Linked DNA regions of Lepisosteus oculatus. The protein of the gene in region 1 interacts with the protein of each later gene in a biochemical or structural test. Links are inferred from orthologs where the notes say so. Each region holds a gene or a part of one and is shown on either strand. Other genes may lie near its edges.

Region 1 (16,610 bases):
AGAAATGTTAAGTAGATCATTGGATTACTATTTCGTATAGTTTCAGATGCTGTGAAAGAATATCTTGTCTCAATATCTTCCTTCTCCTCCAGTTATTAACACAATAATGAAGTAATTGTATGTCTCCATCCATCCATTTTCTAATCACTTAATTCAATTAAGGGTAACAGGGGAGCCAGAACCTATCCCGGCAAGCAATGGGTGCAGGCATGATACATCCTGGGTGGGATGCCAGTCACAAACACACAGACACAAACGTAGACATGCACACATTCACACCTTGGGACAATTTTCACAGTATCCAGTTACCTGCCAGTATGTCTTTTACTGTGGGAGGAAACTGGAGCAGCCAGAGGAAACCCGACATGAACAAAGAGAGAACATTTGAACTCCAAACAGATAACATCCGAGGGCCAGAACTGAACCCACCACTGCAAGGCAGCAATAATTGGGCTTATGTCCAGTGTAATTTTTCTGGAAGATGCCTACAGAAAGGCATTTGTTAACCAAACAATACAAATAATAAACATTTCCAAAGTTACAATGCAAGTACATCACAAATTCATGAAAGATAGAAATTGAACTATATGAACTATAGCACTCTTCACTTCTATGACTGACATGCTGACATATTTCATACATGTCATGTTTCACTTTCAGAAGAAAGCCACAAGACCAGTTAGAGTTGGCTTGTTTATAACTGATTTATTCTTCCTTGGCTGACATAAGGCTTTATGTTTACTCTAAATCTAAAATTAAACTAATGACACTGCTGTATGGCTACGTAATAGGCTCATATAATTGGATACTGTGAAACCAAACTGTTGGAAACAAGCACCTGTCAGATTTTTTTTCTAGCCTAGCAAACGTGACCGACCAATTTAAAAATAGCTACTACTTATCTGAGAGAACGTGCATTTTAGAGGTAGTTTAAGGTCATTTTCTGGAAAAAATATATATGTATACTCTGTTCCCATATTGAAAAACATTATGTAGCACACTGTGAGCAACACATGTTTACGGAAACTTCTTTGAGCTGGTGGATGTTTGCTTGTTCTGTCAATATCAAAAACCTTTTTAATGTACCTTATTAACTAGCATCTTCCATCCATCCATTTTTTTAACTGCTTCATCCAATTCAGGGTCGCAGGGGAGCCGGAGCCTATGCTGACAAGCAACAGGAGCAAGGTGGGGTACACCCTGGGTGTGACAACAGTACGACACAGGGCACACACAGACATTCACACGCACACACGTTCACAACACGTCCAATTTTCACAGAAGCCAATTAACCTTACTGGTATGTCTTTGGACTGTGGAAGGAAACTGGAACACCTGGGGGAAACCCATGTGAACACAAGAAGAACATACAAAGTCCATGCAGATAGCACCCCAGGTCCAGAATTGACCCCAGCGCTGCAAGGCAATAATAGATGTGCTTATGTCTAATTTCTAAACCCAGTATATAACCCGAAACTGAACCCAAGACCCCAGCACTGTGAGGCCACAACGGTTACTACTGCACCACCATGGTAACCAGGATCTTCCTATGATAATTATTTATTTTTAAATTAAGCATTTTGACTTCTAAAGCTGAATAAAGATGGCTATGCTTTCTGAAAGGGATAACACAGTTGACTGTTACTGTCCGTATGTATGACACCTATAGGTACAGATCACTGTAATATGTCAATGTCAGGCCTTACAGCAAACCATGGTACAACTACATACAAGAATTCTGCACATAGTTTTATCCAGTTTGTTACCAACATGTAAGTGGTCTTTCTGCTTCTTCAGGAAAGACAAGACAAAGAACAGTTCTTCAAGTTACATGAACAAGTGCAACTTCTCTGTACAAAAGAAATATCTGTAAGGACCAATAGCCCAGTGCAAAACAAACTGTTAAACTTCTCCTTATCTTCCTGCTAAGGCACTTTTTGAGTTTAAAATGGTAGAATAAAGCAGTAAATGCCCTAAAAGTTCAAGTCTGCACATTAAACACCTTCTAAAAGGTGCTGCAGCTCTGTAAAAAAATCCTTGCATTTAAGTGCTCCTGTGGTTAAGGCAAACAACTAATTAACTTGAGGTTCCTAGTTTTTCAACTTGTTTTGCATTACCTTGAGTAAAATAACTTCCGCATACACTTTTCTTCAGATTAGAAGTAGAACTCAAATCCTTTCAGAATTCCTCACTACAAACATTATCAGCTAATTTACAACTATTAATGCCATCAACATAGTAAGGATGAACCGTAAAATATGTATAGCCATCTTTTTACAGATATACTGTATGTACAAATTATTTGTTTCCCTTAAACTTTTGTTGTACTGTATGTAAGAATCTGTCATACACTCAAACAGATCTGCATGTGGGTCTTTTTAGAGGAACTTTGTGGTGTATCTTAGTTGAATTGTACAAGATCCTTGTGTACACTGGCTTAGGTGACACTTTTAAGGGGATATTTATGAATGGCAAAGTTTAAAACATACCCTCATTAAGGATTCTGAGATTAAATGTAGAACTGCAGCTCATGGCCTATTCCTTAAATTAAATATGAACTCACAGTGTTACTGCTTCAAACAAATGAGTCTTCATTTAAAATACAACCAGACAACATTTCCTTCTTCTAGTCACACTGCTTTGTTCACTGGCAATGAAAACCTGCAAGCTCAGATGTTTAAAAAGAGCCGCTCTGACAGATGTTTTTATTGGCTTAATCAGATACTCGTAAGTTCAACAGTGAATGTCAAAATTTTGTTTTTTGTTTTATATTGTGAGGTGTTGAAAATAAATTAGGATTAGTACTCCTTTTTGTGCACAAATTTCACTTGAATGAATTATGTCCTGCACAATTCCACACTCTTAAAACTCTCACATCACTAAAAAAGAATTCATGTGATGTTTTGCACTGTTTTTGAAAGAAAGAAATGTTGCATTGTCTCTGAAAGTGTGTGAGTCAGCATTTTCTAATGCTTTACAACAATTTACATTGTCTTGTTTTGTTTTTTAAGCTAATTATAATGCCTTCCACTGAACATTAAAGGAAAAGAAAAAATATATTGTTCAAAATAGGTGGTACACACATACAATAGGAGGTATGTATCAGTATAAATTGTTATTATAACAATGAGATAGAACTGCTCAGTCTCTAACATTTTAGTAAGAAGTACCAGGTATATGGTATTGCAAAGCACGAGGCAGTGCTGAGAATTTTCATCATATAAAAAAAAGCTACATCTGTGAAACAAGCCAAATCTTAACCTATATTGAACAATAATTTCAATTTAGTTCTCCACTTTGTTCATTTTTAAATGTGTATGGATTTTAAAGTCTTTAATCTCATAAAACTCTCATTTCATCTCATAAAACACAGCTCTCTGCTTCAATGTCAAAAGGAAAGCCAAGGCTTTATTTTGGCTGTAATTTAGGAGAATATTTATTACTGCCCAAATGTTAGTAGTATGTCTGTGGACTATTTTCTTCGGTACTTCTCTGAATTTGACTTGAAGACCTGTATATTTCAGGCAGGCACTTTTATGTAGATTTGCATTCTTACTAAACATTTCCTCAAGGAGGAGGTTTTGAATTTGAAACAGGAGTGATAAGTTAGCTTGTGATTATTGCACAAAATACCTACAATGGGTAATACTTTAATCTAAGAGTCAGATTATAAGTCATGTTATTTATGAGTTATTTGTTAAGTTATTTATGAGTGACATACAAGAACTTAACAGATGACGGACAACTCCTTTTGAAAGACTTGCTCAATAATTCTTACCTTTTATCACTAATAAATTATACATACCCTTCATGTTTCACTAATATGGCATGTTTTGCTAGCACAAGCTGTGTTTAACTAATAAAGAATAATACATGGTTTACAGATAACCCCTAAAATAAAGTGTTATTTGGGAAGTTGAATTAATGGGCATTTAAAATATGAAACAAAATGTTTTTAGAATTGTACTGATTACATTTTATGATGTGCACCTATATACATTATTAAGGAAAGAATAGGATGGATCTGGTCCTTATACTAGTTTGTACAAAGAATTGTTAAATGTAAAACATATGCTATTATTTGAATAACTTGCTTGGTTATTTTTAAATTGGACATGCTATAGCAAAGCAAACAGTGTAGTGCTTCATAATTTATTCTCATCTACTGTGCCACATATAGTATATTAGTTTAATAAGAGAAAAATATGGTGAGCTGATGCTCTGAAATTCTTTAGGCCTGTACAGCAGGGGATTCATTCTTTTTTGTTATCTGTATAATTCTGCAATGACAGTCACAACCTCATTTGTCCTCACAATATCACATACGACAATACTATAACAGTATTAGCCTTGGAAGGTACGGAAGAATTGTCTCGGGGCTAAATTTCTCTACCATTACATTATGAATGTCAGCATGATGAAATCTTGTCTGTCTGCTTTGGTTTTATATCTTATTTCACATGGGATCTGGGATGCCATTTAAGAATTTTAAAAGTTATCTGTAATCCTTTGCATGCAGGAACAACTTCATTGCTCTTATAAAGCCAATTTAAACTATAATTTTACTGAGATTATTCCACCATCACCAAGAACAAAATACTGCAAACTGTTCAGTTATGATACCCAGCGTCCCGTTTTGAGATCTTAATTTACCTCAATACTGTATATACAGTAAGTCAATATGTTAATAGAAGTATCTTGTTTAAAGTGATTATCAAATGCTGGTCCCCCGGTCAGTGTCATCCGGCTAGGCCTTTTCAAGAAATGATTCGGAAAAGCCAGCAACGTGAACTGACACTAAATAACATCAAGCAGTATTTATGTACTTTCATCACTTTCGCAGGAGTCGTTCGTTGGTCGTTCTTTACATTACCAGCTGAGCGCACTGATTTATTTTGTGATTTAGTTGTGAAGTAATATTTCACGTAAACTGGCACTGTCGCCTAACTAATGGCAAGTCATTGGGAAATAAGGCCTCTGTAATGCATGACAACATAGACCGGAGCTATCGGTACTGCAGTGTCCTTAGAAAACGCTCGACACTAGAATTAGCCTTTTAGTACATGATGCAGTGGCCTTTAGTATTTGGTATTACTTAAGTAATTATTAAAGTTAAATCAAACCCAGGTTATATAAATGTAAACACAAAGTGTGCAAATCAAATTAAGCAAACCAAACTCAGATGGCAATATTGCTGGTAGTAAAAAACAAGTGATGCCAGACCCCATCCCGGAAGAATACAGTTCACTGTATTTGCTTTACAAGTGATGCTGAGCAAATGAGCACAACCCGCAACCCTCGCTAGCAAATCCTAGCTTTTCTCTGGCATTTATAAATTCTGTTAAACATTACCTGCGCTGGTACTGCGTGAACCTGCATAAGCACACGACCAAAGAGCGTTGTGTATTGTCTGAATATTACGGCTTTCTTGACGTAATGACGTGTTACAGAACTAAGGACATTTTCATCAGTATTAATTCAAACTAAACACAATTACAAATTATCCGCTACGTTCAGCCTTTTTTTTGCTCCTGAGAATACCAAGGAACAATAACAAAGGGCGTGCACATACAATGCCAGTGTACAGTATAGCCAGTCGTTTTTAATATAAGTGGATACACGGTAGAAAATAAAGGGCTATTGTACAAATCACAAGACATATAGCACTGTACCTGTTATCCTACGCCTTTTCTTTGCCGAAACAAATCTTCTTTTACTGCATTTCAATATCTGATTCCAAGCGCTTTTAATACCGTTTTTTTTTTAATTTTATGTGAGATAACGAATTTATTTTTGAATGCAAGTGATGATATGGAATTCCTCCAATGAACAGCCCTGTTCGCTCTTTATAGTCGCTCCATGTATATCGAGGGTTAAAGCACCCTGGTTTGAACCATTCGTTTTGTAGGGAAGTTTAATTCTATGCCTCATATCGTTCGTGGAAATTAAATAAACCAGGTTTCCATTAATGCCTTAAAATAGCTTTATATTACTTAGCAATAGAAAAATGCATGCTCACTATAGTATTTAATAGCAGTTAGGCATATTTATTTTCTGTACAAAAGAGCTTCACCCCTTTCCTACCTATCGTTGCTGTTTCCAATGCAAACAGAGACTTAGCAACACACTAGTTTACCAGCCTGCCCTGGCTGGTTAGCTGGAGTTGTAGGCACTTTGACCACACTACATGGTGGTGATGACACGCTCCATGTTATTAAGCTTTTTTCAATAATATTGTCCTTAATTTAGATGTTCTGGAGAATACACTTTTCAGGGTCCTTTTCGTGCATATTTTGTTACATGGTTCTCTTCTGCTGTCGAGTGAATTATCCAAAGTTATAAATAGGTGCTGCAGAAGCTATTTTCTCATTGGCAAGAGTAACTTTTCTTATTATGTTACTGTAATTATACGATCAAACCGACCCTAAACAGAACTACACTATTATAAATCAGCTTGACATTTTTTTCTTCTAAATGTCCTATGTTTAAAATCATTTTAAAAAATAATAGAAGACTTTAAAAAGACATGTTAATCAACACCGGCACATAAAATCTCGGGGCAAATGAAACATAAACTTATTTTCCTAGATTCATTTCACGTCTTTTATGACCCATGTGTAAGGGAATGCAAAGTAAATCAATAGTCTGCTTCTTTTCAATACAGTATTAATAGAAAGAGCTCACGTTTAAGTATCATGACTGAACAATAGCTAAAATTAGTATTTTGATTAGGTGTAACTGATAATCTTGAGGCATTCATATCTTTCATTCCGTATCCAGCCTAATTAGCTGTTGCTGTTATTATTATTAATAACAATAATATTAATTTGGCTGACAATTATTCTCCAACGCAAATTACATATTATACAATGATCTGTTTTGTTTAAATACACATCTTAGTACTGTACATGTGTATGGGTTTGCTAAAGCCACTGGGGAAAAAGACTCAGGATCTCTAATCACTAATCCACACTATTAAATTATAGTTACTGAGGAAAAATAGTTCTCTTGAAGCATGTTTGAGTCCCCTTTAAATAAATGATTATATTTTGCCTAGTGTCCTCTTTAAAAACGAATATTCCAATAAAAATTCATGCAGGTTGTCTGCACACACAAAAGAACTGCTACAGTTTCATATTTTACAATAGTAAAATGAACATGGAATATTTAAAAATTTCAAAATATTTAACTTGGTAAGAGACATCTAAGCTTTTGCAAAGAACTGTTTAGGTGCCCAAAGTGCATTAGAACTATTACAACAAACAATAATAATTGCACCTCTATTACCCCCTGATATCACTGTACCACTGCAATCACAAATATTCATAAACATGTATGAAACTTTGTTTAAATATGTATCATTGATTCCTGTTCTATTTGATACCATCCATCCATTTTCTAACTACTGTGTCCAATTCATGTTTTCAGGGGAGCTGGAGACTAGACCAGCAAGCAACAGGCACAGGGCAGGGTACACCCTGGACAGGACACCGAGCCCTCACATGGCACACACAGACACAAACACAGACCTGGACTTACTTGCACCAGGGCATGTTTTCCCAGAATCTACAGTAATTAACTACTAGTATGTCCTTGGATTGTGGATGGAAGCTCACATGATTTTGGGGAGAACATACAGACTCTATGCAGATAACTCCCCATGTTCGGTATAAACCCTGGGCCCCAGTGCTACAAGGCAGCAATGCTAACCATTGCATGACCATGCCAGCCTTATTAAATACATATTTAATTAATATAGATACATATTTTGTTAATATCGTCTGTTATTTATAGTAATATTATCTAATTCTCTGACTTTAGAAGTCAGAGAAGAGCTTAGAAGTGCCTAAGAGCTTAAAAACATTGACAGTTGTTTATTTCGATTCCACCTTTATCTGCAGAAAAAAGACAAATTTATGCAAAGGTTCTTTGAACAGGTTCATTTATTGTGAGGCCAACTGCAAATATCAGGGCATTGAATGAATTTTCAAAGCACATAAGGCACTCATTGATTTCAAGAACCTTGACTAAAAGAGGATGACATTACACTTGATAAAAGTATGCTCCTCCTGGATTTTTCAAAAGAAATGTGGTGCAATATATTTCAAAGCCTCAATCTACCTGCCAGTTACAAAGAACACCCCGGTACTTGTTTGGCAAAGTATTTTTTTCCTTCATTTGATCAAATGGACTCCCACAATGAAGTGCTGTGTTTGTAATTCACAGTTGGTTGGAGAATAACATTTCTGACTATTGAAGACCTAAGATACAACAGTATTTTTTTTAAAATAACAAGTTGTGAAAGTCTACTTCAATTTTGGAAATGGGTAATAGTGATATGATAGGTTTATTTTACTGACATTTTTATTTAATATAATATGAATTTAATCTGATGCAATACTCTGTATTTTTCATTCAAACAAGTACATTTTGTCAATCCATTTATATATATATTAATTGCAAATGACATTAAATATTAAGAAATCTGTGATTTGGGATAAAAAGGAGAGGTTCATCATTGTATGGAAATCATCATAATCATTTATATTCCAAACTAAAGAAGGGCAAAAGTATGATAATTAATACATTTAACACACATTATTGTACTGTTCCAATAATATTCAGATTTACCTTATTGTTGACTTTGCACTCAAAGAATCTGCCTTAATCTTTCTATATGCAACCTGCTCTTCCAAACTTTTTTATTTCACGTGGCCATCTGAAAGCAGGACCTCTTCATAACTATTTTGTATCACTCGATTGAATTCTAGTCCAACAATTCCTTGGTCCAACAATGATCCATTGGTCCAATTAATCACCATTTTAGTGTCTTTACTTTGACAGTGATGACACATTGTGCTCTAACTCATTCTTTTTAATATAGGGTTTTGTCATTCCAAGCACACATTTGTCCATGGTTTTGGGGGGTGCCTAGTAGCTTCTCTATCACTGTTGTATTTAGAGTTCAGGGTTCAAGTCCACATTTTAATACTTTCATAATAACTAATACTTTCATTTTAAGGCAAAAAACATTTTTTCCACAATAATTATGATATATGACACTATTGTCACTGCCATAGGATCTAGCTATATATTGATGAGGGGTATCATCATTACCTGCTATGAAAGTAAATGTAGGTACTCATTGTATCATGGACTTTGGATATATATTCACCCATTTTTGCCATTTTCTCTCATAGTTGTTCAACAGATATTGGCTTAGAGCAGACCAACTAATTATTAGAATCTTGTCTGTAAATGGGTGAGCCCTGTGGTGTGTGCTATGGGTCAACAATTTATAGCCATTTTATAATCGACCAATAATGGGAACAATAGTCATTTTAGAGCATTTTCTGCACCAGAAACATTGCAAACGATACGATTCAGAGATGCGGGAATGGTATTTTGGATTTACCTGCTCTGCCGGTGCATGCAAAAAGAGTTTTGGTCTAACAAGTGCCTAATTACCTAATTAAGATGTTCACATCCTACACAGTTATGGTATCACTGTTACTGTAAAGGGATTTTAAAGTCTGTATTAGCAGTTCTTCCATTAGCCTGTTCCTTGAGGGAAGGGAAGAAAAATCATTAGATAGTATACAGCAACAACTGCGAAGTTTACGGGCTAAAAAAACAGCCTTTTTTAAAACTATTATTGTGAGAGAAGTAGTTCTTAAAGTGAAAGATAGGTTTGGTTGTGTTCAAGCTGAGCAAAGGAAAAACAATGTTTCGGGAAAATGTGCATGCATCACTTATTTAACCAGCAGGTGGCGCCCACAATAAAAGTTACAAATAATTTACTGTACTGTGTGTGCAAAAAGATCCAAATCCTCCGCCTTCCCAAGGATCATCTGCTGGGCTGAAGGCTGCTCTCGCAGCTCTGAGCTGTGCAGCCGGTCATGTACAATTTAATGTCACCCGTAGGCACAGAAAAACGGAGATATTCGGTATTTGACGGCGTTACTTCTATTTAAAAAACTGGATTACTAGTTGGCTGCGCTGTGCGATACTTAGTATTTGACGTGGGTGGCGTGTTTACTAGAAAGCGCCGTGTTTTGTAGCGCTGACTCCGCACTTAATAGTTTTCGTGTAGCAAAATATGGCAAAGGTTCAGGTGAACAATGTAGTAGTGTTGGATAACCCATCTCCCTTTTTCAATCCTTTTCAGTTTGAGATTACTTTCGAGTGCATTGAAGATTTGCCCGAAGGTAAGTAAGTGTACTTCTGTTTCAAAACTGTAAATTGCTAAGAAGGTAGAGAGAAAACAATTGATTGGAGGTTGCGAGGCCTGGATTTGCTAATAAATATGTAACAGTTTTGTAATTAACAATTGTGCATAACGGAGTACTAGTAAGTGGTGTTTATTTTTATTTTCAAATGACTCTAACGCGGATATCTAGAAATTCTGTAATGGAATGTATTCTATCACCGAGGGGTCGCGTTATCATTGACTCAGGTAATCGATTTATTTAGGCTCTGTATTACGGATAAGGTAGCCATGTTGTCAGGAATATTCTAGTTGTTGGACAGTATGGTATGAGTGCATTTAAAAATATGTATTTTTCTTTTGTATAATAAAAGCAAAGTGACAGTAGACCCACTGACAATCGTAGTTAGCTAGATGTATGGAGAGCATGACCACGTCTAATTATAGAAGTTTTTGTTTTTACAAATAAAGCGTGTAACTAAAAACATTAAAATAAAATTATTTGAATATAAACTTGCGAAAAATGAATCTGTTAAAACTATCTTGGTTAATGTATGAAGTGCTCAATCATGTTTCGCCACAGGAAGGAAGTAGGCTGTAACTATAACTAGCATCAATCCTTGGCTAGGCTCCTACCAGGATTGATGCTAGTTATAGCCAATAATCCGTATTCTGTCTAAATTGGCTGTGTATATTTATAGTTACTATAATCTTTATGCGTCCGATGGAAAGCTTAGTTTTATCACGCTTTTGGTGTAAGTGGAATTTTTCAATTTGTCAGATAGGATTCCTTAATCGCCATGCCAATTAACACAGTTTTAAACTTTTTTGTATGTAAGAGTACAAAAACAATAATACAGTAAAAGTTAGTCGCCCCACGTTTTTGAAGTAATATTATTCTCTATCATCGTTTTTCGCTGTAATTGGCGTGGGTGAAGTCAGTGCGGCGGGTTACAGTATGTGTCAAATCGCGAGCGGGGCAGCATTTTTTTTCTGTGGGGAAAAATATTTCCTTTGAACATTTTTTCCACCTCGTTATATTTATTCACCGTTGGCGTGGGCAGTCGCATTGAGAGTGTTTTAAATGTCACTTTGCTTATACTTTAGGCTAATACGGAATTTGTAGCACCCATTATGGATAGTCTAATAATATTTCTTAGTACTGATTAATGGTAAACAGCGACACATTCACAGTCCCTTCATTTAAATGAAAGCTAGAAGTGTTTGAACCAGACATTGTTATGTAACCTCCAAAATGTACCCTTTCTCAGCAAAAGTTACAATACGTTACAATAATGTGTATCTACCAGAGGGTCGTCTTAAAATTCCATGTTATGCGAGATGATTGGTTAATGACACAAACCACTATGATTTTCTGAGACGATAGAAATCTTGTGAGTACTGTATTTGCGTGTGTGTTTGAGAAAACCAGCCTTATACTTTAAGGTCATAGGCTTAGTCTTATGCTTTCCAATCAGGGGACTGATGAATACCTTAAGAGGTTATCAATAGCTTGTTGGCAATCCCACAATCCAGAAGTATTAAAACTATTTTCACATCTCTTAGGTTTATTTGCATGCTTACTTGCAGTAAATTTTATAGGTGCTTTCCAGTGCCTTAGGTGCTGAAAGCAGCCAACTGCTTTTCATAATTTGGAAATTAGAACTAAGGTGGTGTCAAAGAGAGAAAGAAATACATTTATCTGTTTACCTTTAATGCAACCAGTTGGCCAGTGTACCTAGGTCTCACTTTATCTTGTATCTTGTTTCAAAATACAATTAGTTTTTAACAAGATATTGCATAATTACAGACCTCAGAAATAGATGTTGAAAATAATGGATGGTTCAAAGTGATAATCATTGCTAGAAATGACTTGCTGTCCTCTAGTGTGGTGAGTAGTCCTTTGTTCTGTTGTCTGTCGACAGTAGATTATGGGCATTAAACTGTATTGTAAAGCTTTTTTGTCTACATAGCAACACTTTGAAACATAAAAAAGCTCTTTGCTTTAAAAGTAGATAAAGATGGAGAGAACAATATCAGTTTTTCCCATTGGTGATTTCCTGGGAGGGTGTTGTCACACAATGCCATTCACAGACGTGACAGTGCATGTTCACAAGTCATCTGTCAGGCATGATAATGGGGCCCCAAACCACGAAGGAGGTTGATCATGAATTTGTCTTACAGTATTGTTGACATGAGCTTTATCGAGACCTTATGGGATAAGCTGCACTGCCATTTTCATAACTTTTTTTTCCCTCCAAAACAAGCTTCAGTTTACCAGATTTCCAGAGTGAGAAACTGGGACATTTGAATTCTGAAAATAAGTGCCACGCACAACTCTGAGACGGTTCAAATTCCTCTTTGTAATAAGCAGCTCTTTTACGTGTTTATCCTTTTTATATGGCTACTTGGTTGAAAACCATAAGCAACTTACATCTTGGAAGATGAACCATTTTGATTTTGGTTCCCACTTCATCACATTTTTAAGATTCATTACTACAGTTTAAAATATCTATGTCTGCAAACATTCAGCTCCCGCAGATTAACTGAATAACTAAAAAAGCATTAATGGGCTGTCGTTGCTGCTTGCTGTTATAGCTTATTCTAATCACATAGCAAAGAAAAGAGTTAAAACTGTATGCACAGCTGCTTCTGTGTTAGTTTGAGGGCTTTTTTTTAGCATGCACAACTTTTTGTCCTAGGTTTGTATAGCCAAAAAAAAGAAGCCAGTTTTAACCCTTTCATGATTAGTAATGACGATAAAGATTAAACGTGTTCACAGTGTAACTGTGACATGTGATAATGTGAAGCAATTAAAATATTACAAAGCGTGACGTAATATGTGGAAGGTAAAATTATCTATGCAGTGTTTCAAGTCAGTTCAGTGCAGACATTTTACAAGGTGGCCATAGGATTTGCTGAGAACTCTGGGAAAAGAGTCCATGTCAACTTCAACCTTTCAAAGTTCAACTTTGTTTTATCAAGATATTTTTTCAGTTTACATCTTTTGGTGATGTAAAGAACTTTTTAACATCTTGTTTGTAGAGAACTGACCCTTCTCTTACTACTCTTTTGCCTACTCTGAAAGCCTGCTAGAATAAGTTTAACTGTAGCCTTTGGTAAACTGTTTGATATTTAGCAGGAAGAGCAGAAGGAGAGTGGTGGGAGGTAGGAACACATTGTAATATCACATTGTGACCTCCTTGATGCAAAGGGACTCTTCGAATCACAGCCACAGGACACTGTGAGAGCAGCTGCTAGGAGCTGCGCACAGCTTATGGATCAAAAAGACCAATGCAAATTATGAACTCTTATTCAGTTATGAAATTCCGATAGAATTATAGAATAGAATTCCTTGCTATTTGGTATCCAGTCTTTTATTAGAAGTGCTGAAGCTATACTTTCATTAGGTAGCTATTGTAATATAGAAAACAGAGGTTCACCTCTAAAAAAAAAAGTCAGATTTCCCCTGAAATTGAACTAAATTTTGCTCCCTACAGTGGGTTAATTTAGGCTCATTGTAGCGTGTGTAACATGTATGTGACACAGTGGCCATGTGATGGAAAAGGCAGAAGAACAAGATTGCTGTCTTGGAAATAAATTATATCGGTGGTGAATCTTTTCTGTATTTCTGGACTGCAAAAAAGCCTGCAAGTGTATGTAGAAGGAGAGAAAAGGCTGTGTCTTCCCACCCTCCCCCTTAATTACAGAGGATACAGTTATGGAATTGGAAAAATAAACAGCAAAGTGCCACAGTAGTACCCAACAGTAAAAGAAATTTACAGACCAAGCGCAGGCGTCCTTCAATTGCAGGAGCTTTCCTTTCGCCTGATTGTACAGGTGGTTTGTGCAGGCCACATTTTCCCAGTTCATTTCACTTCATTCATCTATATTTGAAAGTGTTTTATGGGTCAGCCATTTGCTTGTTTCATTTGTTATGTTTTTAAATCATGGGTCAAGTTCTTATGTGTCCCCTGAAAAGTTCTGTGTCTTGTATCATCACGGATTCCGCTGTTGTATTGATTAGAGATTTAAGAGTAGCTGTACTGTGTTGCAGGAGTCAGATGGCACGGTGTTGTGTGTTTGTCTAATGATACCACAAATTCTCTGTCAGGCGTTGCCATGGAAGTCTGCTGCTTAACAGCTTGTTCATTTCCAGTTCCCTGTAGGTGTTTCTTGATGTACCGAAAGAAGGATGTACAGGAAGCACTGTTGGAATGCAGACCTTCAGTTAAGCTTTAATCTAATAAAACCTTGCAGTACAGTCAAGAGTTTTCAGGTTCACCATGTGCCTGTAAGTGCAGAGTGGTCTCTGTGAGGGCCTTGTGTCTCTTAACATGATTTAGTTTTCCTGCTTGGTCACTCAGATATCGATAGAAGAGCCCCTGAGTGCTCACATATTTTGGCTGCCAAAACAGATGATCAGTACACCACAACCTATATATAGGTCACATTCAACATATTAGGAATACTGTAAATATGCAAAGCATTGCATAGCTTAATAATAATTTTATCAAAGTTCTTGCTTTATCAATTTTAACAATTGATAAAAAGTGGCCTGGTTTCTTTTCTTGTCAGTATGAATCCATACAAATTGGTGTCAATGAAATGAAATAGGTGTAATACAAAGTGCAGCAAAGTTACAGTGCTCACACTAAGTCTGATGTATTCATCCACTTTGATGTAGAGCAGGAATGGTGGGGGGTTGAAGGATATTTGAAATGTTTTAAAATCTGTAAATAACATGTACATTTCTTAAAACATGCAAGCCTGTATTATCTTCCTTAATACTCTTCCTTTCTTTTGTGATGGTTATTTTCAAATGTTGCATTTGAGGTCTGCACGACCTTTGCAGTCCACTTTCCTGCCACGTCAGTCAAAATCTGAACTTTCAAATAATGAACGTCCAACTTTGAAATCACTCTGAAGACCTAAGATCTTTTATTACTTTATTTTGAGTCTTTCAGATCAGTACCTTACATGGAACACAATTCTTATACTGTTTGCTAAAGAACTACCCCGATATTCCCTCTTTATCAGACTGAATGGTTATTATAAATCCTCATGCCTTTTGTTTTATGTTTCTACAGATCTGGAGTGGAAAATAATTTACGTAGGATCTGCAGAGAGTGAAGAGTACGACCAGGTCTTGGATTCTGTGCTGGTAGGCCCTGTGCCTGCTGGGAGACACATGTTTGTTTTTCAGGTAATTTTCTACTGTAAATTCAGTTTATTGACAATGTCATATTGACTGCTATTGGTGTCATTATTCACACACATCTAATAGTGTGCACTTCTAAAGTGTATTGATGATGAGTGTACATCAACATCAGGATGACTTCCGTCTCTGGCTGACCATTATATACCTTTTGTGTGACTTATATTGGTTTTATGCAGCATTTTTTAATAATGGTTACCAGAAGGATTTTTATGGGCATAGAAGATCCTATCGCCTCCTCACATGCACTGAGATATTTTTAATTTGTGTTAAAATATTGTATTCAAATATGCACATCTTCCACCTTTTATGATGACACAGAGCAGCTTTATTGTGGCAGATGTTTGCACTACAGAGATGCGATTTTAAGCCTGTTTATTGGCTGTTCCTTGCTTCTACCAGCAACATACTAATTCTTTGAGCTCCTATTGGTTAGCATTGATATCTATGTGCTGCATGCTGTCAGAGCAAGCCTGTATTTTTGAGCTGCGCAGAACATTTGTCAAGTGAATGAAAGTACCAGTCTTAAGAATGTTAAAATTATCAAAAATTCAAGAGTGGCAGTTAATTTTCTATAATTCATTACATTGATTGGAACCTGCTGCCAAGAACACCAGAACAGGGAATAAAGAAAAGTAATTTTTGATTCTGGAATCACTGTTTTTAACAACAAAGCTAAGTGATATGTAGTGTTATTACTGTTATTATTACTTGTACTATTAAACAATGAAATAGGATAAGTAACCTTGAATAATAAACAGAGATGTCAATTTAAAGCTATGCAAAACCAAAAACAGAAGTGAATAGAGTGTTAAATGTTTAATAAAATTGGTATTTGGCTTAAAAAGGCAGCATGATAGAAAAATATATTATTTGAACATATGTGATATTCTGTCTGACTTTTTTATCTTTGTTGTATGTTACTTTACAGTACTGATCATCTGTTCACCTCTAATGTTGCAGTATTTTTAAATTAATGATTTTTAAAAATATTTTACTTTTGCAAAATAATTGTATTTTCATGCTGCCTCACAGTTACTAAGCGTTTATAAATCTTGATAACATTTTTGCTGTATTGAGCATGATAAAGTGTTGTGTGTTTTCTAACACTTCATTACTGTTCATTTCCAGAGTGCATTTTTAATTTTTTAAGTACTCTTAATTACAGAAACACAAACACACTTT
Region 2 (16,903 bases), on another chromosome or scaffold:
GTTAATTGTCCTTTGCGGATTACTCACCTGAGATCATTTTTCTAGTTTGGGCACGGTAAAATAAGGTATGATAAAAGAACATTGTGCAGTTTTCTGATATGTTGCTGGTCGCCGTTTTCTCTGTGCAGGCTCACCCAAGATACTGCCCTGCTCAGTGTCACGTCTTTGTCCATGATGTCTGCGATGAAACCGCCACCTTCCCATTTCCACCCAAGAGCTTAGACATCATTCTTGTCGTCTTTGTGCTGTCGTCCATTCACCCTGAGCGGTAGGTCAAAGTCAGAGGGCAAGGGAAAAAAGCATTCAGTCTCATTCATCACCAGGCATCTCCCAGCATTCTCATCAGTTATATATCCATTCCATTATTCTGATTTAAAACACTGCCTGCTTGTTTTCAAGTCATGTGCAAAATGTGCATTGAAAGACATGCACTCTATCGTCACATGCTATTTTTTAAATGCAACATTATAAGAACCGTTGAACAAAATTGAGAGAAAATTCTGCTGCTCAGTGGGGCAATGCTTGGGGTGTGCTTTGAGACAAAATTGGCTGAAGTTTGGAAATGCCTGTATGGTCGTGTTGTTGTTGTGCATGACATTTCTGTATGTTTAATTCCAGATGATGATAATTTTCGTTAGACCCAAACAGGGCAAAGAGTTCAATGTGGACAATGGGCAGGAATATAGCAGTAGTATACAATCACAGGGAGGCTCAAAGTGTATGATGCATGTTGTGTTTTTACAAAATACTGGATTACCAAAAGTTTAACGTGCGGATTATGAATCATAAAATAAAGTACGCCTATTTACTTATGAATTGATAGATATTGCTGGTGGGTGTTACTGTTTTCAAAGAACTGGTAGTCAAATGAAGTCAGAGAACAAAGCCTCTTGCTGAAAGAGCTTAGTCTGCTGCTCTTTGTAACAAGCAGTGACATTTCACTACATCAGGAGCCTGTAGTAGATATCAGCTGATTAGAATTCAGGGTGCGGATTGGCTGCCAGCCAAATCTCACAGCAGGCAGTAATAGATTTTTCGCTATTCTATTTTGATGTGTTTTTTTTCTTTGTACAGATCTTAAAATGGACTGGCCAGAAATGAGCAATTTCAATTTACTGTATCAGTTTTTGCACTAAATGTGTAAACAAAGCAATTGTTTTGTATACATTGGTTGCATAAGAAAGTTTATCTTACTGTATATATTATATGGCATTGTCAAATGCATTGTACATATCTACTTAGCAATGTCTTATTGATTCTAAATGAAGGAAGCATCGCATAATTTGTGCACCCAGAATAGTCTGACTGCTCTTTTTATGATTAGTCTTCTTATGTACTGTTCACTTTCAATACGATGAAATGTGCTTGGAATGATCCACCTATTATGGGTATGTGTTGTAATCAGTTATCTGAGGAAAGCTACCCACATTGATGTTGTACGCACTTAATAGACAAACCTTGACCACTAGATTGGAACCTTAAGGCTTCTTGCAGTGTTTTAGGTGCAGCTCATAATACCTAGAAATGTGTCTGCTCATGTTGAGTTCAAAATGATGTCATTGTGTGCAGACAAAGGAAAGAAGACTTCCTAGTCGTCTTTGAGAAATTGTGCCGCTGTCTTGCGCAAACGTGCCTATACTTTTAAGGTGAATCTTTCTATTGTGTGCTGAGGTTTCCTGCATTTGCACAATTTGCTAGCAGCACCGGACTGTGGGAGCCTGTTGAATGCATGGTTGAAAAAAATGGTTTGTTTGTTTACGTACTTGTGCTTTAACTAGGATATTCTTCACTTCATTTTTTAAGTTGTTTTTTTTTTCTCGATCATTGCTGCTGTAATACAAAATTAGTTGTGTGTTTTTTCTCCTTACAGAATGCAAGGAGTTGTAAAGAGATTGACCCAGTTCCTGAAGCCCGGGGGGGTGTTCTTATTCCGAGATTATGGCAGATACGATATGTCACAACTTCGATTTAAGCAAGGTGCTCCTGTGGTTCCTCGTTGCGTTCCTCAGTTAATTTGTCAGTGTGTTTAAATTAGAAGATTACTGCTTTTCAGTTAAGCACCATGCTTTTACGTGCATCACCTTTGCCATTGTGACCTGAACAAAACTTTGAAAATCCATTGGCTTTTGTTTTGTTTTTTTTCTGGTGTGAAAAAAAAACAAAGACTGGGATCGCCCACCCACATCAGTTAACAACAGACCAACACAGCCTATTGATACTGCCATCCTGAGTTCTCATTTCTGCCTTATCAGTTGGTAAAATATTTTTCCTTATCGCATGCACATACAACATCACAAGAAGAGGAACAGTCAAGTGTTACTTTCTTTGTATTTTAATGGTTGATCCCTTGCTTGTATTGTGAGTATAATCATCACCAGAAGTACCACTAAATAACATTCAAGTCTTTTAATGTCCCATTGGGCACTGTGTATTCTAGCTTTCTCTTATCCAATTGTTTTACAATAATTCTACACAATAAGAAAAACACTAGTCAAACACTTTCCTCACACTTTCAGGATTGGCTGCTCCAAAGCAGTTTTTTAACATCATTGTCTTAATGGCATGCATTATACTTCCATGACAAATATTAGAAATTTATTTCTAGTCTATAATTTTTGCACAAAATGCACACCCTCAGAAGAAAAAATGCTGGAAAATGAATGTCATATATTTGGGGGGTTTATTACATGTTGTGGTTACTGGAAAATATCTTATTGTTATTATTCTGTGTAGTTAACCCATTGGGTTTTTCATCTAAATCTCAGTGTTATTTTTGCGTCTATGTTGTGATGTGGTATTTTTACAGCTCAGTCGAACTAACACGGCTATCTTGATCATTTCCCAGGCCGTTGCCTGTCTGAAAACTTCTATGCCAGAGGAGATGGTACCTGTGTCTACTTTTTTACAAGAGGTGACATGCATATGGACCTTAACAACAGTTGATGCTTTTGCACTGTTTGGAAAATGTTTGCGGCTTCTTTTTTTAAAAAAAAAAACAAGAACAAAAAGTTGTCAAAACTTCAAATATGCTTAAGTGGTATAGAAAACCAGCTCAGTAGGACCGCAGCTGCACGATGACAGACTAGACATGACTAGAAAGGATCACAGAGTGTTCTGTTCCTGTGTGTCAGATGTTTTGCAAACAGACGGTTTGACTTGTGGCAAGAGCTTTTGAATGGGTGAAGGCTAATGTGCTGCTTTTGTGCTCGTCTCCTGCAACAGATGAAGTCCACCATTTGTTTGTGAGTGCTGGTTTACAAGAAATCCAGAACCTGGAAGACAGGAGGCTCCAGGTGAACAGGAAGAAAGGAGTGGTAATGCGCCGCGTTTGGGTGCAAAGCAAGTATCAGAAGCCATGGGATACTGACGTTTGACAAAGCAACTCACCGGCTATGAGCCCTGCATTGGACAGCAAGATGCTGACATCAGCACGGATTGAGTTCTGCAGGTCTCTTACAGCATCATTCAGATTTCTGTGGATGTGATAAGCACTTATCGAAACAAGCAGAATCAGATGTGGCAGAAACTGTTGACAGGGCATCCAAGCATGATAAAGTGTGCATGTCCAAAGAACAGGAGTTGCCAATGGCCTGTTTCCACTGCACCCTCATGTTTCCTATTTCTCTTGCGTCACTCATTTTAAAAGAGCTTTTAATCAAGACTAATAGTTTGAGAGAAGAATGTGCAAAACTGATATTATTCATAAGGAAATGATTTTATTATATTTGCGTCTGGAAACCTGGAATATGTTACTGGCTGTGAGACAAGACATAAATAAAAAGCGAATCAGATCGAAATAATATGCCAGCTTTCTGAAGAATGCAAAAGGTTTCCCTTGATACGCAATTCATGATCATAAAAGCCTTAAATGAACCTGCAAATATAAGAATGGATGCCATTCTGTCTGCTATACTAAAATGTTGTCCATCTCTTTCTTGGAGGACCCGACAGTCTGGTCCTCAACCTTATGTTCCAGACAACCATCACTCTTTATGTAAAGAAGTGTTGCCTATTTTCCATCCTAAATAAATTCCCTTTGTTGCCATGTTTCCTTGGTTTTTTACTGAAGATGTCAAACTGGGTTGACCCTTTCTGTAGACCTTAGAATGTATATGTTTCAGCTTATTCTTTTAATGTACAGTACATTTCTGTAGCTTGGCATTGTTCCCATCTTTTTATAGAGATTCTAACATGCACTAACATACTACATACTGTACATCTAGACTGTACAGACAGTCTTATTAATCTTCTCAGTTTTTTGTAATCAGTGATGGAATTTTTTACTTATTCAAATGTTTATCTTTCACATTAGTAAGTAATCATTGTTATTTTAAGTACTTTACATTTTCCAAAAGATCATTAATGAGTGTTTAAATTTGAACTTCATAGCCATTTAAAGACAATTAAAGTGAAAACAGATGAGGTCATGATACAGTGAGATGTTAATTCACCAGTTGAAGTGAGAGGGACATTTACTGAGGTAAGACTGTCCAAACCTGAAGTGGAATTTAGCCAATATACTGGGGTACACCTATTCTAATATGACTAGTCTTATGAACAGATGAAGTAGTCAGGACCTCTCCTGAAACTCTCAACAAAAGGACAGCACACTGCCTACAGATCTATGTCCCTTGTCACCATGCTGTAGATTGGAAATTGTAGTCCAGAGAGAAGATTGCCACTTATTCCAGCAAGGCCACTCACTGTACCAACCTGGATTTCTTTGGAAGTCTCCAGTATCATTACTGACATGGACCAAGCTTGCTTAGGTTGTGAGATTTGACAAGACTGAGCTACAAAGAAAGCCAGTGACTTGAAAGGCTCATATGTTATACTGAGAAGGTTCTTAAAAATGCATGATTCACAAAATGATGATGAATGCTTGAGTGGTACAGTTCTTTACAATCAAATAGCAGTTTTATTCAATTAAAGTTTTTTTTAATATTTTGTTTGGGTATCACAAGGATCTGTATTCAGACCACTGTTCTTTTGAACTTACAGTATATCAGTTGTCCTACATTTTGGACATTTGTGAACTAGTCAATTTTGCAAATGGTACAAGTCATAGGATGACTACCAAATCACTCTATATGTTTTAAGGAAATAATACATCATTTGATGATGGAACAAGTAATAGGTTTATTCCATGCTGAAAAAAAGAAGAAAGAGAACACAACGTTTTGGCCGTGGAGCCTTCTTCAGATGTGAGCCTGACACCTTATTCAGCATGGAATAAACTTGTTCCTTTGCAGCCTACGCATGCTGACGCAGCTACCCACCCGAACTATCATTTGATGATGATAATAATACAATCTAATTGAAGAGTTTTTTTTTCGTATCCACCAAAAAAGTATGAATGTGAGATTGGAAACAGGCAGCTATGGAAAAAGCAAAGTATTGACACATCATTTTCCTTCAATAAGGTGGATAAGCAATAAAAGGCCAAACAGATCATTAGATGTGTAAAATGTCAATACTGACCTCATTTAGAATGTTGTGTACAGCTGTGGTTACCATAATGGTGCAAAAAAAAAATATTGCTGCTTTGCAATTATTTCAGAGAATGGGGACCACATGTATTTCAGACTTAAAGGTTCACCCTTCATGCAATCTTTTTCATCTTGAACATAAAAGACTATTTTAGGGACCAATACCAGGACATGAACCAAGGAATTACTATTCCAATTACTACTGAGGGGACACTTTCTTACACAGAATGGACTGGAATAAGATACCCAGGCATGATTTGAAGCTGATTTCTTTTAAGACGTCACTGGACAGTCTAGATGTGCCTTATAGCCTCTTATTTTTAAACTTTCTTGTGTTGGGCACTATCAGTGATCTCTTAAGTCCTGCATATGCCTTTTTGCAGTGCACAAATCTAAAAGCAGTTTACAAGGACAGGTTCCAATAAGAAGAATAGAAAGTTCACAATGCAACAAATTGCAAAAGCACTTATCTGTTCAAGGTATTAGTCTGTTTCAGGTCATAATACTGAGACAAATTAGGAAGGTTCACAATAAGAGCAAATGACAACTACCAGAGCTACACAATGTGAAGAACAGATATCAGAATTTTTAGTAGGAGTCAAATCAGACAGGTTCAGATTTTTTATCCTGAATTAAGATTATTTTCCCTAGTTGGATGTAAATTTGAGTAACTAATTTTTCATATTGCATGTTGACTTGAGCACCAGATGTAAATTTGAGTCCCGAACAAAACAAATAGTATATCTGAGGTAAATTTCCATGCCCAGTGTTTCATTTGGGCTGTGCACCGGTGTTAGAATTTTATCTAAGGAAAAATTATGCATACTCAATCCTGAACCAGTCATTCACAGCAAGTGGAAAATTCCAGGATGTAGCACATTAATATGCCTTCGTTTTAGTAGTAAAAAAAGAAAACAAATAAAATGCCCTGAATGAAAACGAAAGCTGCATTCCAACAAATATTTTAAAAATGCCTCTATAATTATTTTGATTGCTTCCTAATTGAATTTTTAAATGCCTACTATTGACCCACATGACTTGCTTTTCTGGGGTGGTATAATGCACTGAATCAGTTCTGAAGCATGCTATTGTGAGACAAAGGCTTGTGCCAAAGGATTTGCTGGTCTGGGCTGTGTGTTGAAAAGGGAAGCTTAGCTTGGTGTGTGAAAAAGAAGGCCGGGATGTTTCTACTGAGAGGAGGCATCACAGTCATTTCAATGAACTCTGAACAGCCATCTGTGCATAGCAAGTGCATAGAACAACAAGTGAGCCATCACTGGCTGAGAACATTCTCTATGCCTTTACCATCTAAAAGATCAGATTGGGAGATGCAACAGGAAATTATTAACCCCTGTGTTTTAATGCTGTTTGACCCCAGTTGGGTTCTTATTTTAGGGACTCTGTTATGTCTTTGTTGTTAGGAGTAGATATTTTATTTTTCTAAAAGACCACTGGGAAAAACAACAACAATCTTTTGTCTCCATTACACTGCTACCACACGGTCTACTGATTTGAAAACAAATATTTTGTTGATCTACTTAAAAAAATTCTAAATTCCATACATATATTTGAAAAATAAATGTATTGCATATATATAATAAAATAGAATTCTTAAACTCTTCTGATTTATAGGTGTATGCTATATTTAAATTATTTAAAATCTGTAACAAACTACCCTTTTCTAAGCCTGTTATTGATTTTTTTTTCCCAGCATTAAGTGAATGTAATTACATAAAAAGTGGAAAATGTGTGAAAACGAACGGTTACTCTAAGGAACTACCTTAACAATTTAATAATTTTCCTTCTCTGAAATGCATGGCTCTTGGATGGACAAAAAACATATACAGTAAAACCGAATGTTCCAGCTCCTGAGGAAACTATGGACATTTAAAAGTGTGCTGAATGTGAATAATGCACAAAAATAACGTGAACCTGGTTGTTTCTAATTTTGCATCTGAAAATTATCTTCGGTATAAACCAACAGCTAATACAATACAATGTTACTTGCTTTATTTTATTACATAAAAATCCAGATGTTTGTTTCCCAGTTTCTAATTGAGAACTCTCCATAAGAGACTCACACTCATAAACTGCTGCAACAACAATCTTACCATTACATGTAATCCAAAATCAATTCTTCATGATCAATCAATGGAGACAAATACAAAAAGTGCAATATGACCTTCAACCTAAAATACCCAGTTAATGGTTGACCTAATCGGCAAACGGAACTGCAAAATAATTCCTGGTTGCTGTCTACACTTTTTTTGCTTTGTCGTATTTAAACGCCAATACATTGTCATGCTTTATATTTTTCCACTCTACAGCAAATATTATGCTATTAATATGCTTCTTATACTTCCATTTTATTAATATACACCTTTAAATTAATTTTTCATTGACCTTTTAAAATTTATTTTTTAACAATACCGATGCCGACCCCCCAACAACAACAAAACAACATTGAACTAAAATGATTGACCCTTCTTAGGACCTCAAAGGTGCAAATAATCTTTTTCTTCACTGCACGATGTTCACGAAGTACAGTAGGTGCTTTAATGTTGTGTGAAACGTTTTTACAGTTGAGAGGAGAGTATATAGGCAACCCAAAATAGTACATTCATTTAACCAAATTTCTTTTCACTTATCAAAGGTCACAATATTTAAAAGTGATAAATACCACTTCAAACAATATTTTCACTTATCCCAGTTTATAAAGAATTGTTATATCAATACATTGATATAGTTACTTAATACGATTAATGTATTAAGTAAATATACATCAATTTATTTTTGCAATATTTTAGGATTTTTATTAGATTTACTTTATGCTTAATTATCAGCTAATTTTCATATTAAACTATTCTATTACATAAACGCCACAAACACATCCTAATTATCGTAATTAGTGATCGCGGTTTGATTGACAGCTTGAACAACTAGCAAGTCCGCCGCAAAGGGTTAAACCTACGTCACTTAAAACCACCATAATGAATTGTGGGAAGGCGAAAACTATGTTCGTGTGTATGTACATTAAAGTTTTTATTTCGCGATATGAGATTTTTTTTCAAACAAAGTTCTTACGTTATTCTACGTTACCGATAAGGAATTGGAAATGGCATCGTAGTGCATCAGGAAATTGAAATAGCGCCAGGGAACTGTCTTTATTTTTATTAATATGATAATAGTGTCTGCATATTTTAATCCTCATGCGGTGATGAAATAAAATGTCCCCTATAAAATTTGGGAGGAATGCACAGGTAGCACGGAGCACAGTTACCCTGCAGTTTACACATTTTTTTTTTATGAATGAGAAATGAAAATATTAATGCATTCAAAGCCTCTGATGAAGAGCGTGCGACTTGGGAAGTATTTCATACAATTTGGGATGGCCTCTTTGTTTTGCCGTTTCCATCAGTAGAATTTTTTGCCTGAGGTGTACGAGCCTCGCGATAGTGTTTGCACAAGCGATGCGTGACGCCTAATGCAAAGGTTACACACACAGGCTACTTCAAGACGCACTGCAGAGGTATAGGGAGGTTTGTGTTTAAAAAATGTTAAATTTTACAATTTGGGCCGGATCATACGAGATGATTGATTGATGCCAGAGGCTTGCAGGTTACAGAAATCACGAGGTTTCACTGCCATTGACGCCTGTGTTTGTTTGCTTTCTCGTTCCAAAAAGTAGCTTGATGAGTGTCCAAAGTAACAGTGGAAGTGGTGGAAGTTTGGAGGGGACGCCATCTTGGTCCCGGCTCTCCACGTCCCCAACACCGGGCTTGCTTTCTCAGCAACATATCACGGCACCTGTGAAAACCAAGGAAGGTAATCTAAAACTATATTAATCTTAGAAGTATCTTCTTTAGAAATGGCTAAGTGTTTTTGTTATGCGGGCGACGAGCCGTCTGGAAATATGAGTCCCAAGCGGGTTACGCTGAGGCCGTGGGTTAGGTACTGTACAGTGCAGCCAGTCAATAGGTGTCTGCTTGATATGGAGTATCAAGAAAAAATCTCAAGAGGCCATACGGAGAAAAAAAGAACAGCTACATTTATTTACACTTTGGGTGCATTAGCTGACGACTCTCAGCTAGACGGTATTGAAATCGCTCACAGTTTTGTGTTTTTTTTTAGCGGCTTCCGTTTTGAAAAGCAATGGGAAAATAAAAAAAAAGTGCCTCCTCTTTTTTTTTTATTTGCTAAGATGTCTGATAATAAAAAGGGTCGGGTCTTTTGACATCATGGAGGACCCATGGATTTTGTTTCGAGAAGAAGAGTTTGGCGAGATTGATCAGTGTGCAGAATGCCAGGTATCCGAGTTTAATAACGTAACTAAGGGTAGCAACTTCCTTCGCCTTTTTTGGTATCAAGTCTGGGATGACACATTTTTATTGCAGTAAGTAAACTGTGTCATATACACAATACATAGTATGATGGTGGTGTGCGGGTGCACGGAGACACGTCTTTTTTGGGGGCTGCGCACAGAACTGCATTGCTCGGTGAATTTATTTTTAATTTAAATGCACAAATGTTCCATGATGGTGTTATGCAGTCTGTGCAATCGGGTGCCTTGAGCGTAGTTATTTGTCTGGATGCAGGTAATTACAGTACGTAACCACAGTTGATGGAGTCTCTGGTTGAACAAACACTACTTTTAAAATAATGCCTAGCGTTGGCTAAAATGGTGGGGAAACGTTCTAGATAACCAAGTTATTGGGGTGGAGTTTATATGTGTCTAGGCTTACTATTCCGAGCAGTTTTGAGTGTCCGGTTCTAATTAGTTTACCTAGTGTGAGTTTCAAATTAGTGCTTAATTGTGTTTCTGTGTTTTCTATATAAGCAAGTCATCCCCAGAGAGGGACGTGCAGACTGCTTGGCAATGCTCTATGTATTATGGGCAATTGAAGATGCCCTTGAGGTTTTAAGGTGATATGGTAACGAGGTTTACCTCCGTCCTTAATCAACCCGTCGTGCTTGAAGCAAAAAGATCTCGCATACAAGTTCTTATGTAATTTGCAATTAGTCTCCCTGACCCAAAATATGTTCTGTTGAGGAGCTTAAGGTCGATAAGGTACCTGCATGTTATGAAAAATTCCATATTAATAAACCAGTTCTTATGTTAAATTAGTTTTTTTTTCAGCTTTACAGTATAGGCTCCTATGTAAAGTTTGCTATTTTTTTTCTGTAGGTGGTGTAATTAACTTGATATCTGTCTCCTGCCTTGGTTGTGCTTGAAAAGGGGAGCCAGGAATGTGAAGTAGTTATGAGTTAGGAGCTAAGTTATAGATCAATATGTGTTCTTTCCTCAGTTTAAAAGCTGTTTTTTGTGTGTGTGTGTGTGCCCTTATGAAGAAAAGTTTTAAACTGACAGGATCTGATCTCATCGCACATATCAGTGGGGTCTTGCATTATATTGTGCTGGCCAGTCCAAAAGTGTCAAGTTGCTGCAAAGCATGATGATTCTTTTTAATTTGGTCATTTTAGAGAGTTAGGCTCAGGTGGACCTACTACAGCCACGAACTGCATGGAGCTAAAATGTCCTGTGTTCTTAGGGTTCAACCAGTAGCTTTTGCAGGGGCTTAATGTTTAGTGGCTCTGACAGTATTCAGGTCTTGTTTATGCAGAATTGTAAAGAGTTCTTCACTGCATTTGAGTTAGTTCTCTGTAAGCCACTTTTCGTCTGTTTCCTCTTGTAGAGAGCTTGGAGAAATTTCCAAAATGCATTATGTGCATCATATTGACCTCTAGGGTTAGAAAGGTGCCCAATTAAAATGACATCAGTTTTTTTTTTATCCGTGTTCTGTTATTTTAAGGGTACCAGCATTAAAATTTAAAAACTTTAACTTTAATACAGTATGCTGTATAAATTAAGCCTACAGGGTGATCTCATCAGTACATGCCATAAGATACTCGCAAGCTTTTTTCACAGACCATCTTTTTCTTCTGAAATTTCATGTGTAAGACTATCAAAGTGTCAGCAGGCGTAAGACTTTATGGTGTTGCTCCATAGTGATACTTCAAAACTGCTGCGTTTAAACCCATAATCCTTGACCTGTCTGGCATCCCTCTTCGAGTCCCAAGATGTGGGCACTTAGTAGCATTCAGTTTTGATAGGCCTCATATGTGCGCCTGAGTTAATCTCAGTTGACTGGCATAGCCCCTGCCAGGTTGGGATGCCCATTTCCGTTGGCATAATCCTCTGTCCGAGACAACTAACCAGTTTAAATTTTGCCCGAATCCGGTTTCCATTCTGAAGGAAAGGAGGGTGTGACAAAGCACAGTTTTTGAAACTTTTCGCAGAACCCAGGGAAAGAAAAAACGTTTGTCGCTGTGACCCCAGAACAACATCTGAGAACTTTAGTTTTCATAAAGTAACGATAGGGCAGTTTGTGCCGTGTCAAGTCGACTCGCATACAAAATGAAAACAAAACATCATTGCGAACGTAAGGTGTTTTCAAGAGCTTTATAAAAATAATCGGGTTGAATTTCACCTAAAAAAGGTTAGGCAGGCCTGTGTGATGGGCCTTACTCCTATCAGGATCATAAGATAAAAGGGTTTCCCACCTTTCAAGTGTGCTGTTGAGTGGGGTTTTTCGTTTTTGTTTTTAACCTTATCAAAGTTGAAAATCGCTTTTCGCACATTAAGGTTGTTGTGAATGGCAGCAACAACTGAACACTTACAGTATCATACTCAACAGTTGATATTCTTTGAAGACGTTGACTCAAAAATATGACAAATTTAATGGCTTGTGGCACATTTTCAGTGTGCTTTCACAGGTTAGTTGCAGTAGCTTCTTCTCTTAGTTAGGCGTAATGTATAGATTAGGGATTGATGAAAGAGGAAGGATCTTTTGCACTTTTTCTTCAAATTGTCAATCCTCATCTTCTGGAAGTAGCTACCAAATTCTTGAGACAGGTAGTAAATAATTACCATTTCTCTGTGTAATCTCACAGTATTGGTTATCTGTAATAACCTGGGCAAATACTTTTCGATGATGTGTGCCACAGTGCCAGAGACTTCAGGAATGCTTGTATCTGTTCACTGTGTTGAAGCAAATTGTCGCCTCTTTCCTGTAAGTTCATTTTCAGTTTGTTTAAAATTGAGAAAATGTCAGCTAAATATGACAACTTTATTAACCAGCTGTCATTTTTCAGATTTGCCAAATTTGATTATTTTCTAGAACAGCGCAAATCTTTTCCTGAACTGAGACACACTGGTAAATACCAGGGCTGTCACAGGACAGGGGGTTTAAATGTGAATTATTAAATAGTTATTCTTGTACCTGTTTCTGAAGAAATCACTTCAAAAATTCTGCTGTTCGGTGAGCTAACTTTAATGAAATTCACAATTCTAACTACTTCCTTCAGTATGGCTGTAAGATCTTGGAATACCATTGGATGCAAAAGCTTTGATTTAATCATGACAGTGTTTCCAAACAACACTGTCAGGTACTTTTGATATTTTTGTTGAAACTAGAATGTTTCTATCTGTCGTTTTTTGCTACACCATCACTTGTAATTCCTTTGTATTTATTAGGTAGTGTAATTCATTTTCCACCTACAAATTCATTAAGAGCTTCACTTTAAGACATCAGTATTAGCAGCTTCTAGTCTGATCACAGGAGCTAAGCAAGGCTGGGCCTAGTTAGTGGGATAAGAGGTCGCTTAAGGAAAACGAGGCTGGTGCTGTAAGCGGGGTTGGTGGACCAGTAGGTGGTGCTTTTGTATACCAGAATTTCCAAACCATCACCCTGCGGACGTGGTTCACTGTGATCTGGGATGTGCCATTTTTCATATGAGATGCTGAACTCAGGTCCTGACTATGTGGTCTTTAAATAAATATCCCATGACACTGTTTGTAAGAATAGGAGTGTTAAGCTCAGTGTCCTGGCTAAATTCCACTCCCTGAAGTTACCCCTTAATTAAATTGGTGAAGGAGTTTCCCCTTTCTCCATCTGTTCTGCAGTGTAATGGGACCACCAGCGCATAATGACTGCATCACACCCCCCTTGGGTGTTGCTCTTCAGGTCTGTATGAAGCGGGTTCCCTTGTAGGTAAAACATGTGATAAATGCAAGGAATTGCTGTTAATCTGTGTTTTTGTCGTATGTTAGATACGAACTAAAAATTCTTCATAAGACTTTGACGTATGTCTCCTAAATTGTTGCATAACTTGACGCATTGGTACTCTCGAAAAGCGTTTGCAAAATCCCTAACCGACAGTGGCCAAATAATAGATTTTGAAATCCTCTTCACTATTGTGTTTCAATGAGAAGGATACTTTGGAGATGTCCATCTTCCTGATGAAAAGTGTACATGCTGAATTTTGAGATGCCGGAAAAACAGGTTTTTCGGCATCTGTTGGCCATTTTTTTTTGCCACACGGTTTGCAGTCAGATATGCCTTATCATTCAAAGTAGTTGACCAGCTAAGAACTTGAGCTGATAACATTAGGTCAGGGTGCTGCCATCAAAAGTATTCAAGAGGCTTATCCACAATGTTGCTGGTTTTGTTTCTGAATAACTTTTCAGTTTTGTGGGGCTGCAACTCTTGTTTTCACACAGCCTGATGCAAGGAACACACTGGGGCTTTGGGTCTTCTTTTGTATTGGAACAGTTAACGAATCTGTATTGCATGAAAACATCGCAACGGTGCTTCGTCCATTTCTTTTTTGTAGAGGTCGACATGGCAGAAGTCTTTGTCTTTACTGCCGGAATTCTCCGGTGCAGGTGGCGGGAGTTGAGATTTCATTTCCAGGGTCTCATTTTATTTACCTGTAAGGTTTATTAAGCATCACAACTGTGCCTCCTACAATGAAAGCGTACGGAAAGCATTGTCTTTACTGATTGTGTAGAAAAAGCTATGTAACATACATTGTCCATGCATAGTTCATAAGAAAATACTAAAAGTCAGTGCAAACAAGTGAGCCTTAATCAGAAATAAGTACAGTAAGTAAGCATGAAGCAAATTATTTAGAATGTGTAGCAAGAGACATTTAAAGAGACAATTTACATATATAACCAGTTAGCCAAGAGTGTTCCATTGGAACAACTAATAGGTTTATTCCGTGCTGAAAAAAAGAAGAAAGAAAACACAATGTTTTGGCCGTGGAGCCTTCTTCAGGTGTCTTGCCCAGTAATGAGTCGTAACCCTTCCTTGAAAACCATTGCGAAAGAGTAGATCTCATGTTTCCATCATTGTGGTGTGTGCTATGTGCCTCATTCTGTTGTCTTATTTTTTTTATGTTTGTCGGCCACACCGCAGCCGGTTGTAGTTGTCGGACTTGAACTGGACAGTCGCCCTCTAATAAGTGAATACCCAGTGGCTTTGAAATCTGTCTGGTTTCTGCCCGTGTTCAGTGGGCAAACTGCACGCTTCCTTTACGAGCCCATCACTCATCCTGACCGGATTCGCGGCAAGGCTGTCTGCAGACTGATACCCAGTTTCTGCTAGCTACTTTGAGGTGCACCTCAGCCAGACCATCTGTCTGTAGGGCATTTCCAATTGCACGCTGAGGTGTCAGTGTGGTCCGAACAGGTCTGTCTAGGGTATAGTTTGCTATGTGGTACTCTTTGAATCGCGTCCGACTGTGTTTTTGGATTGCCTTTTCAGCAATGGGCAGAGAAAGTGCAGTGAGAGCCATAAGCAGAGGTGGGTGTGCTTGCAGTGAGAACGAAAATAAAAAAAAAAATACTGCCCAACGCATGGGGCGTTGAGTGGTATACCAAGTTTTAACCAAGGTCTTTGAAATCTGAATGCACCTTAAAGGATTTAAAAATAGCGGCCTGCAGAAAATAGAATTAAAGTACAGTTTTTTCTTGCAAAGGTACCTTTCCCTTTGTTCACAGATGTAATGAACTAGGTAAGAGCTAAGCGTCACCACCAAGATGCTTTCACGGAGCATGCATGTCTATGGTAAAAGTTCCCGAAATTGTTTTTGCTCGGAACGATGGCCATTTGCCCAATTATTACAATTAACCTAGGCCAGATTTCCATTGATCTTTGTTTCAAAACAGTTTTGATTGGCTTCCTTGTTTTAGTGTGGTGTATTTGAAGTTACAACGGACTCTCAAAACCTTCTACATTTGTATTCATCGAAAATTGTTTTTTTCTTACAAGTGCTTGTGGGTCTGTTGTGTCTGCCATGAGAAAATGTAGAAAAACTGGAGTTTATTCCTCTGAATTAATAAAACCCCAAATCTACATAGGCTAAAAATACCCAAAGCCATATTAATACTAAAATATAGCTTTCCGTATTCTTTCCATAGCTTAAAATGTATAACTTTCCATCAACGTTTTTGGTCTTAATTTCATTTTAATATCTGTCTACAAAATATTAGTATTTTTTTTGTTATGACTGAGAAACAGGTTAGAGGTGTACTTGAAGTGCAAATATAAATTCAGTCTATTAAACTGGGGGGATTCTCTGAATTCCCTCCCCATTTTGTAATTGTTTTAATAAAATACCTGTTAAATGTTTCTGTCTTTAGGCGATTCAGTGGAATAATTTTAAGTACATCACTGCTGAAATGGCCCTATCTTGTGTGGCAATATTTGTTTAGAGTGTGCTTTACATTACTTTCCCTGTGCAGAATAATTTAAAGCACTGAACCAGATGTGACCATTTTAAACTGAAACTGTCTCAAGCTATATGAAGTCAAGACAGCCCTGATTAGGTATGCATTAGTGGATTTGTGGTGGTTTTTAGGAGATGACTGAAAAAGGAAATGTGCACTATTTACAAAGGGGAAGAATATTGAAATAGAATAATTTGTCAGCGTATACAGGGATGTAATGCATGGATGACTTTCATATTGTTCTCTAGTATATAAAATGAGTACTAAGGTCAAGAGAATGTTTGGCAGTAAACACCCCTGTTTTGACAGTAACAGGATTTTTGAGCTTATTTTCTTAAGTTTCAATTATTAGGCTTGAATAACTTGCTTTATTACTTTGTAAGCTGTAATCCTTTATATATATATGTATAATTTGAGATACTTGCATCAGTTAAGCTTCCAAACAAGCCAGATGGGCCAAATGGCCGCCTCTCGTTTGTAACCTTTTTGTGTGTGTGATGTACTTTTGAAAGTGTGAAAAATTCATAGCTGATCTGAGGAGCCCAGCGTCATTCTGAAAAAAACGGGGAAGTGCTCAAGTCAACAGAAAATGTCGCAGGGATAAAACGCATTAAAAGATGACCTCAAATCACGTTTAAATGATCACGGCTCTTTTCTCTTCACTGAAACTGAATTTATTGATTCAGATAAGCTGACAATGTGACTGCATCCTTCGAAATGGTAATGTATCAGTACAGTTAAATTACCTAGACTGGTCCATAGATTTGCATTTGCTGCTGCATTTTTTTTTCTAGAATATTGTCTCCATTGCCTTATTTTTAAGTTGTTTCCTGATAACTTG

The links.
Region 2: of the proteins of histone chaperone ASF1 (region 1) and tlk1a, one has a biochemical effect on the other in vitro, tested with the Homo sapiens proteins (3 studies listed by BioGRID). The link is inferred for Lepisosteus oculatus from reciprocal best matches to the Homo sapiens genes ASF1A and TLK1.

Annotation. Positions count from the first base shown.
Region 1 is NC_090704.1:23,415,856-23,432,465, forward strand, and holds the start of histone chaperone ASF1, read left to right. Parts: upstream 1-9,813; 5' UTR 9,814-9,899; coding exon of another isoform or gene 9,900-9,947; 5' UTR 9,948-10,099; coding exon 10,100-10,208; intron 10,209-15,297; coding exon 15,298-15,413; intron 15,414-16,610. UniProt on the Homo sapiens protein: Histone chaperone that facilitates histone deposition and histone exchange and removal during nucleosome assembly and disassembly.
Region 2 is NC_090707.1:16,285,157-16,302,059, reverse strand, and holds the start of tlk1a (serine/threonine-protein kinase tousled-like 1), read left to right. Parts: upstream 1-8,474; 5' UTR 8,475-8,513; intron 8,514-8,914; exon of another isoform or gene 8,915-9,028; intron 9,029-9,174; 5' UTR 9,175-9,181; coding exon 9,182-9,314; intron 9,315-9,465; exon of another isoform or gene 9,466-9,480; coding exon of another isoform or gene 9,481-9,583; intron 9,584-9,771; exon of another isoform or gene 9,772-9,789; coding exon of another isoform or gene 9,790-9,796; intron 9,797-9,848; exon of another isoform or gene 9,849-9,863; coding exon of another isoform or gene 9,864-9,882; intron 9,883-16,691; exon of another isoform or gene 16,692-16,782; intron 16,783-16,903. Other genes in the region: mettl8 (tRNA N(3)-methylcytidine methyltransferase METTL8, mitochondrial), read left to right, coding at 129-268, 1,871-1,977, 2,846-2,911, 3,223-3,374. UniProt on the Homo sapiens protein: Rapidly and transiently inhibited by phosphorylation following the generation of DNA double-stranded breaks during S-phase. This is cell cycle checkpoint and ATM-pathway dependent and appears to regulate processes involved in chromatin assembly.